Rattus norvegicus: one gene and its partner. The protein of the gene in region 2 interacts with the protein of the main gene of each other region in a pairwise test. Links are inferred from orthologs where the notes say so. Each region holds a gene or a part of one and is shown on either strand. Other genes may lie near its edges.

What was found.
Region 1: the proteins of Mid2 (region 2) and Zfp24 interact in binary tests that used the Homo sapiens proteins (3 or more experiments, as listed by UniProt). The two-hybrid records come from large-scale screens. The link is inferred for Rattus norvegicus from reciprocal best matches to the Homo sapiens genes MID2 and ZNF24.

What each region holds. Positions count from the first base shown.
Region 1 is NC_086036.1:15,573,653-15,577,575, forward strand, and holds the end of Zfp24 (zinc finger protein 24), read right to left. Parts: intron 1,765-3,923; coding exon 1,226-1,764; 3' UTR 1,093-1,225; downstream 1-1,092. UniProt on the Homo sapiens protein: Transcription factor required for myelination of differentiated oligodendrocytes. Required for the conversion of oligodendrocytes from the premyelinating to the myelinating state.
Region 2 is NC_086039.1:109,237,002-109,240,892, reverse strand, and holds part of Mid2 (probable E3 ubiquitin-protein ligase MID2), read right to left. Parts: intron 2,085-3,891; coding exon 1,923-2,084; intron 348-1,922; coding exon 140-347; intron 1-139. UniProt on the Homo sapiens protein: E3 ubiquitin ligase that plays a role in microtubule stabilization. Mediates the 'Lys-48'-linked polyubiquitination of LRRK2 to drive its localization to microtubules and its proteasomal degradation in neurons.

The DNA of each region.
Region 1 (3,923 bases), on a different chromosome or scaffold from region 2:
TACAGTCCATTCAATGTGTAGCTACAACCACAATGCTACTAGAAATGTTTGGATTTTTAAGATTCATAAACTTTCAAACTAAGAGTGTGTCTTGAGCTCAGCTCTGAAGAACGCTAAGAGCTGACCAGCTAGCTCTCCCTCCAAACACAACACACTGGCAAGAGAACTACAGCTCTGGCGCTCTCAGAGGTGGCTGGGAATGGTGATGGGGAAACCCCTCATGACTTACAGTGGAGCGAATACCTACCTGCTTAGGTAGGATTACAGTACCCAGCACAGTGCACTGTCAGTAGAAACGTTTAATAAGAAATGTATGGCTGTTTTAGCCTGGTGTTCAACCCTTTTGTACCAAAGGAATAAAAATAGCAAACCTGATATTGCTGCCCACCCTATCACGGAATTCCCTGTCCTTAACTAGGATGAGGCAAAATGAGTTAAGAATTTTTCTAAAAGCCATGTCATACATATAATTACTTTAATTTTACATTTGCCTTTCAATATCACTACATTCTTCCTTAGTGTTTGATTTACCATCACTTCTACAATTGTCTGTGTTTACACAGGAAAACCATTTTAGTTAGTAAGATTCCCACAAGTTAGGTAAAATCACTTTTTCCTTTGGAGGTTTCCTGTAGACTGACTGTACTTAAGAGACATGCTTCACCAGGGAACTTCCCCAGTTGTCCCTCCGCTCCTGGAAGTTTTGCTGCCATCTCTCGTCTGAGACTTAAGGCTTATCTGACTGCGGCTTTGGCCGTTATCTTCTCAACCTGAACAAAAGGAAGCTAAGCTTTCAAGGATGGTTCTAAACCTTGAAGATGGGCTTTAGATTTTACAATTCCTGTGTTGCCCTTTAAAACAAAAAGGTGTGCACCCTCACAGAACACCCCTCCAGTGATCAACACAGAAATAAAGTAGCTGTCTGAAAAAGGGGAGGGACAGAGAACCAGGCATCTAATTACTTGGGGAGAAAAAAAGAAAATATAAACATCACATGGAAAATTTAGGTTATTAACACCTGAATTATTTAAAATTTCGGTTTCTAGGCAGGTATAACACCATTTCTTTCAAGGTAATAATGGTGAATGAAGATTTTTTTTTTTTTATTTCCCAGTAGATTTTCTCAGTCAATGGGGAAAAATAGTTTCCATATCTCTTCACTTTTTAATTTTGTCTTCATTTCTGAAGAAAAAGACCTGAGTGCTGATTGTTTCCTCATAATTTCTTAAACCTTCACAACATTTAAAAGTTTTTCTGCATTGTGTCTTCTCTGATGTCTAAAAAGATTTGAGCTTTGACTATAGGATTTCCCACACTGAACACATTCATACGGTTTCTCCCCAGTGTGGATTCGCTGATGGTTAATGAGCCCAGAATTCTGGCTAAAGGCTTTCCCACATTCGAGACACTTGTAGGGTTTTTCTCCAGTATGGACTCTCTGGTGCTGCACCAGGATGGAGCTTCTGCTGAAGGCTTTCCCACATTCGACACATCCGTAAGGCTTCTCCCCGCTGTGGATTCTCTGATGAAGAATAAGGGCAGAGCCCTGACTGAAGTGTTTCCCACACTCGTCACATATGTGTTGTTTCTTTCTGGAAGGATTTCTCTTTCTTTCAAACCTGCCCTTGGGAAAACAGGTTTCTCCATATTTGAAAATCTGAGGAACACCTATGTTGAGAGTGCCAGGAACCTCGTGAGACTCTCCCGCTGAAGCGATCTCCTGCTTTGGGGCCAGGGCTCCATTCTCTGCCGTAGCATCATCATCTGAAATAAAGAGAAAATGTAAGTATCACTCAGTGCCTAGTTGGAGAGAGAAGGACTTAAGGAAAGAAGTGGGTTTTGTTGTTGTTGAGGCAAGGTCTCACTATGCAGCTGCTGCCAGCCTCAAACTTCCTATGCAGACCAGGCTGGCCTCGAATTCAGAGATCTGCCTGCCTGCGCCTCCCAAATGCTGGGATTAAAAGTATGTGCCACCATGCTTGGCAAAAAGAAGATAACTTTTTCATGAACTAAAAATAAATAGTTTGTGCACATCTGAGTATATAAGGTTGACTACTCTCAAAAAAAAAAAAAAAAGAAGATTATGCAGTTAATGAGCTAATGGCATGGCAGCAAAATGACACGAAAGGTTTTATCTAAATTTAACACAGGGGCTAGAGAGATGGCTTGGCCATTAAGAGCACTTGATCCTTCAGAGAACCCAAGTTCGGTTCCCAGCACCTATCCTGGGAAGCTCACAACCATTACAACATCAGCTCTAGGGGATCCACCTTCCTCTTCTGACCTCTTGGGTACAGGAACAAGTGACACACACACACATACATAATACACACATTTAAAAAAATAGAATAGGTGACAAACAGATTATCAGATAAGGGGGGAAATCAAACTGATATGGTTAGGTCTGAAAAAACTTTGGAATAAAAAACAATTACCATTAAAAAATGTTTTTAAAGAAATTACATCAAAATAAAGGTATAACATAAAAAGTCTGTCAAGGGGACTGGAGAGATGGCTCAGAGGTTAAGAGCACTGACTGCTCTTCCAGAGGTCCTGAGTTCAAATCCCAGCAACCACATGGTGGCTCACAACCATCTGTAATGGGATCTGATTCCCTCTTCTGGTGTGTCTGAAGATAATGACAGTGTGCTCATATACATAAAGTAAATACATCTTAAAAAAAAAAAAAAGTCTGTCAAACAGTAGCTACTGCTGAAAAAGGTTAGTATGTCACGGCCAATGCTGAACTTAGAGCAGAACACAGGAGTCCTGATGGAAAAAAAGGCCAAGAACTGTGTATGTTTTTTTTTCTTTTTTTTCGGAACTGGGGACCGAACCCAGGGCCTTGCGGTTGCTAGGCAAGCACTCTACCTCTGAGCCAAATCCCCAACCCCAAGAACTGTGTATGGTAACTTACACTTTAACTCCAACACTCACAGAAGGCAAGGGGAGGAAGAAGTCTGAATCCAACGCCAATTCCAAGAACAAAGCAAGTTCCAGTCAGGACACAAAGACCAAGTCTCAAAGAACAGGACAAAAAAGCTAAGGCTAATCTGAGGCCACCTACATTAACTAAAGCCCTGACACTTCAAACTCCAATACACAATAAATGAAAGGTTCCCCATTAAAGAAATGTGCTCCAACTTGGAATTTGTCATGATAGCTGGAAAAATTGTTCAAGTCTTAGAAGTATATGTCTAGAAAAAAAGCCTCAAGTTTAAGCAGCAGCACTGTCTGCCCACAGGCAGGGGTAAGAGCAAGTCGCACCAATTTTTCTGGAACTTTAACAGTAGAGAGAGGACAGTTGTCACACAGAGCAGCAGCGCTCAAAAGTCACCAGTGATGAATGACACAAGGGTTGATCAAGGGAGAAAGCAGAAGAGTGGGAGAGCCAAGGGCCTGAGGGGTCATGAGGCTTACAGGCTTGAAAAGTCAAGTATGAGGGGCCGGTGGACACACGACCTGAAATAAATGGAATGTTCTGGATGTGAAAGCGACTGGAGTGCTAAAATGAGGCCGACAGGGAAAGCTACCCTGACATTCAGGAAGAGGACATGTTCTCTACCCACGAAAGACATCTTGAAAGGATACAGCTCCGGAACTATCCAATGGAACGAGGTCCCATGACAGGTAAAACCAGTGTTGCACATTACACCTGAACCCCAGTTCTGGTTTGTAGCACCCCTCTAAGGAGAAGAACGCTGCTCATATCTTAATTTGTGGCATGCTGGTTATTATTTCCACCTACTCCGAGGACTGATCCTGAAGCAATCTCAAACAAGATATCGCAGAAGCAAACTGCAGCCCGCGAGTTTAGCATATACTAGGTCACATAAACAAGTGCACAGCATTAAGTACCTGTACTGCAATGCTCTCTCCTGACCTCTGATGGTACCTGCACACACATGCACACACTCGTGCAC
Region 2 (3,891 bases):
CGCTGAGCCATCTCTCCAGCCCTTATCAAAGATCTCTTAACCGTGACTTTTTAGTATCTTAGTTGTGCTCTACAACTGAATCTCCTAAGAACCTAAAAGCAGAGAAGATGAGAGAAAGAAAGAAAAAAATCCCACTCACCATGTTGAAGAACCCATGACCACCTCCCAGTAGTGGCAGCCACTGTCAATGAATATATTTCCTGCTGCCCCATAACACCCCGTGCCACTAAATCTCTCCGGAGTGTGGCTCTTCTTCAGAGAGCTCTCGTCCTTCTCCATCTGCAATCCATCATTGGAGATCTTCAACTTCTTGTGAGTCATTTTGGGATCTAGTTTAAATGGTTGGCCTGAAAGAAAAAAAAAGTAAAAGAAGAAGGGAAGGGAAACTATGATGAAACATTTACGAACTGTGTCTTTCCCCTCCAGGACCATCATTAGCAGGGGACCCCCAATATGATGATGTAGGTTGGCTGCACTTTGAACTATATTAGGAAAGCAGGCAAGAGTGTCAACTGGCAACTAAGAAGAGAAGTCATCCTCCCAAAAGATAACCTTCATGCATTATTTTCCCTCTGTGAAAAAACGTGGGTATCTCATTTTGCTGGAAGTCATATTCCAAGCACGGAGGAGAAAGTGTTCCCATCATATATTATGATATTAAAAGGGACCACTCCAAGTCTCACATCCTCAAATGTGAGAGCTGCAGAGAGCGCCCATCCTCCATCAATCCATCATTGGAGGTCTGCACCTTCTTCTGAGTCATTTTGGGACCTAGTTTAAATGGTTAGCCTAAAAAAAGTAAAAGAATGTCTTACTTCCATGAGTGGGTTGGGATATAGGGAAATTTTTTAAAGGAGTGTTGCAATGTTTGAGGTAGGATAGTCTTTGTGTTAATGAGGCAATTGCTCACAAAAGAAAAAGGAAACAAAAACAAAAAACAAAAAAAAAAATAAAACCAACTCAGCAACAGATGTTTGCTTCTTTGAAACTGGAGTGCGCATATAATTAGGCGACTTTGTTTGAGTGGCTGCTCCATCATCAATGATGAAAGATAGCATGTGCTTTACTACAGAGACCTTTATAACCATATGACAAAAACACTGTCCTGTGACCCCAAGTGCTGGGTATTGAAAGAGGTTTAGTGTACAGTATGCCTCTGTGATAGACACTGTGTGTTTATACAGCATCCATTCCTTACTTCTTCTCTCTCTCTCTCTCTCACTCTGCCAGCCTCCCTCGATGCTTGGGATGACTAATAAAAAGGAAACTGAAGTCAAGCAGAGTGGAAGAAAATTCTGATTAAGCTCCTGTTTCCTTGATTAAAGGCTTACCAACGTTTTCTCTTCTTCCTACTTTGAAGGGAAATATGACATCAGAGGTTGCACTGGCCATCTTCTGGCCTTGTGGGTGAACTGATGCACAAAGACAGAGCTCCAAGCTTTCAAGAGATCTCACAGCTGCTATACTAGTCTTGAGTTGGCTGCCTTCACACTTCTTTCAGTGTGTGACAGGCAGTTAAAAACAAACAAACAAACAAAGACCACTATTCACTTAAACTACTTGGAAATCCTTGCTAAACTCTGTCGGTGGTGATCAAGGGCATTCCTAAAAATATGGCTTCTCTGTGGTAGAGCTTTGCTAGATCACCACAAGTAATACACTTTAACTTAATTTTCTCCCAAGCATAGGAGACAGGGGTGGAAGGCAGAGACAAACCCTTCCCTAACCTCATTCCAAGCTGTGCTATGTATGTTTTAGTTCACAAACACCCCTGGGCACCAACAAATCCTTTACCTGAAGCACAAGCTACAACAGTAAAGCCCCTCTCCTCAGAGCCACTGCTCTGGGAGTCTACTCGGGTTAACTGTCCTCCATGACACAGAGAGCAAAAATGAGTCTTTTCTCCTGGAATCACAACTTACTGTTTGTTTTTAGCCTGGTGGGTTCACTGTTCCGGCTGCCTGCTTGATTTATGGCTTTCACAATAAAGATGTAGCGTGTCCCACTCTGGAGTCCATGGACTGTGTAATGGTTCTGCTTAATGTTGGGCACAATCATCCAGCTGTCCACTGAATTGTACAGGCCTGAGAAGTAGGGAAAGACAAAGGCATCAACCAACAGGTTTTTTTTTTTTAAAAAGTTAGGATTTAAAAAAAATATACACTGAAAATCAATTATAGCCACCCAAGTGAATTCATTTTCTTTTGAGTCTTGAAAGATATAATGAGATGAACTAGCACTTACGATTCCACTAATTAATTTTTCCATGCACTTAGACTTGTGCCAGGCTTCTGGCATCTAGCAAGCACTGACAAAAGCTAGGGTATATTGTTTTTAATGCCAAAGAACACAAGAATGGTCAGTATTCAAAATAGCAGGATCCTCACAGTTATGGACTACCTGGGTCCTTACCGCTAAAGTCTGTTTCTGTGCGAACTGAGTCTGGCCTTGGATGGATGGAAACATTCCTGTACAGAGCTCAGTATTATGAAACTCAGAGCAGAAAGGACACCTACACATGGATTTCCTTCATTTTTCAGAGGAAACAATGATGGAAGGAAAGTGGCTTGCCCGTGGTCATAGATGAGGCTTTTATCGTATTCCAGTGATCTATGCACTGTATCAGTGTGTGGCGAGTGAGTGACAATATGCCTTTGTCCCTGTACACCAGTGAGATTTTCAGAGCCATATTACTCCTGCCCTTCCACCTCATGTTTACCCTTCCTTTCCAGATTTGCTGGACTTCAAAAGGAGCCAAGATGATATGAAAACAAAGTAGAATATTCTTGCTTTTATAAGATGTTGGGGTTGTGTTTTATTTTGTTTTAACCTCTTCCAGACTCAATCCCCATCTCATGTTCTTCTTGGGTCATGTGGTCCAGAATGATATTATAATCCAAACGATGTTTCTTTCTTCCCAAGCAGGGAAAAGGATCTCAAGAATGCTTTTGCTTTTGAAAATAATCTTGAGATTACAGATATAGTGACTTAAACAGGATGAAATATATTTAATTAAAAGTAAGTATTTGGCTGGGTTTTTTTTTTTGATAAAATGAATAGTGATGCTACTTTAATGGGTTTTTCTTTTTTCTTTTTGGCTTCCCTTTTCTGTTATCTGTTTCTCAGTTTAACGTGTTTTTAAAATACAGTTCTACTTGAAGATGGGAAGGAGAGGGCATGGAAAATGAGAACCAATTTAAGTCATGTTTATGGAGTTCTAATGAAGAATTGAGTGAGATTGAAAGTTAGAAATAGTGTTGTGAATATTTTACATGGGATCTGGTCAAGAGATTTATAATTAACTCGAGGTATGTAGAGAAGGCCTAACTTAGTATTTAAAATGAGGCACAATTTAAGCACGGCGATACATACCTGTAATCCTAGAACCTCAGAGGTAGAGGCAGGAGGATCAGTCTTTCACAACCAGCCTTGACTATAGAGCAACTTCCAGGCTCAGTCTAGGCTATCTCAAAACATCAAACAACAACCAGCCAAACAAACAAAACTCATAATGGGCAAACAAAAAGGTACACTATAGAAATAGGACAAAGATTCATTGAGAGGGGGCTGGAGACATGGCTCTTCTACAGGTTGGATTCCCAGCACCCATATGGCAGCTCACACCTGTCTGTAACTCCAGTTTCAGGCAGTCTCACACCCTCATAGCAGTGCACATAAAATGGAATTAAACAAATTTTAAAAAAAGAATTGATTGATATATTAAGTGAATCTTGTCTTCTTGTGGAAAGGGATAAGGTCCCGAACTAAACTTTTCCTTAACTGTGTATCATTGGACAGTATGGGCAACACATCACGGGAAAACTTTTATCACTAAGAGAAAACTGCAGGCTCTCAAAAATTAAAAATAACAGCTACAAATATTCTACATGT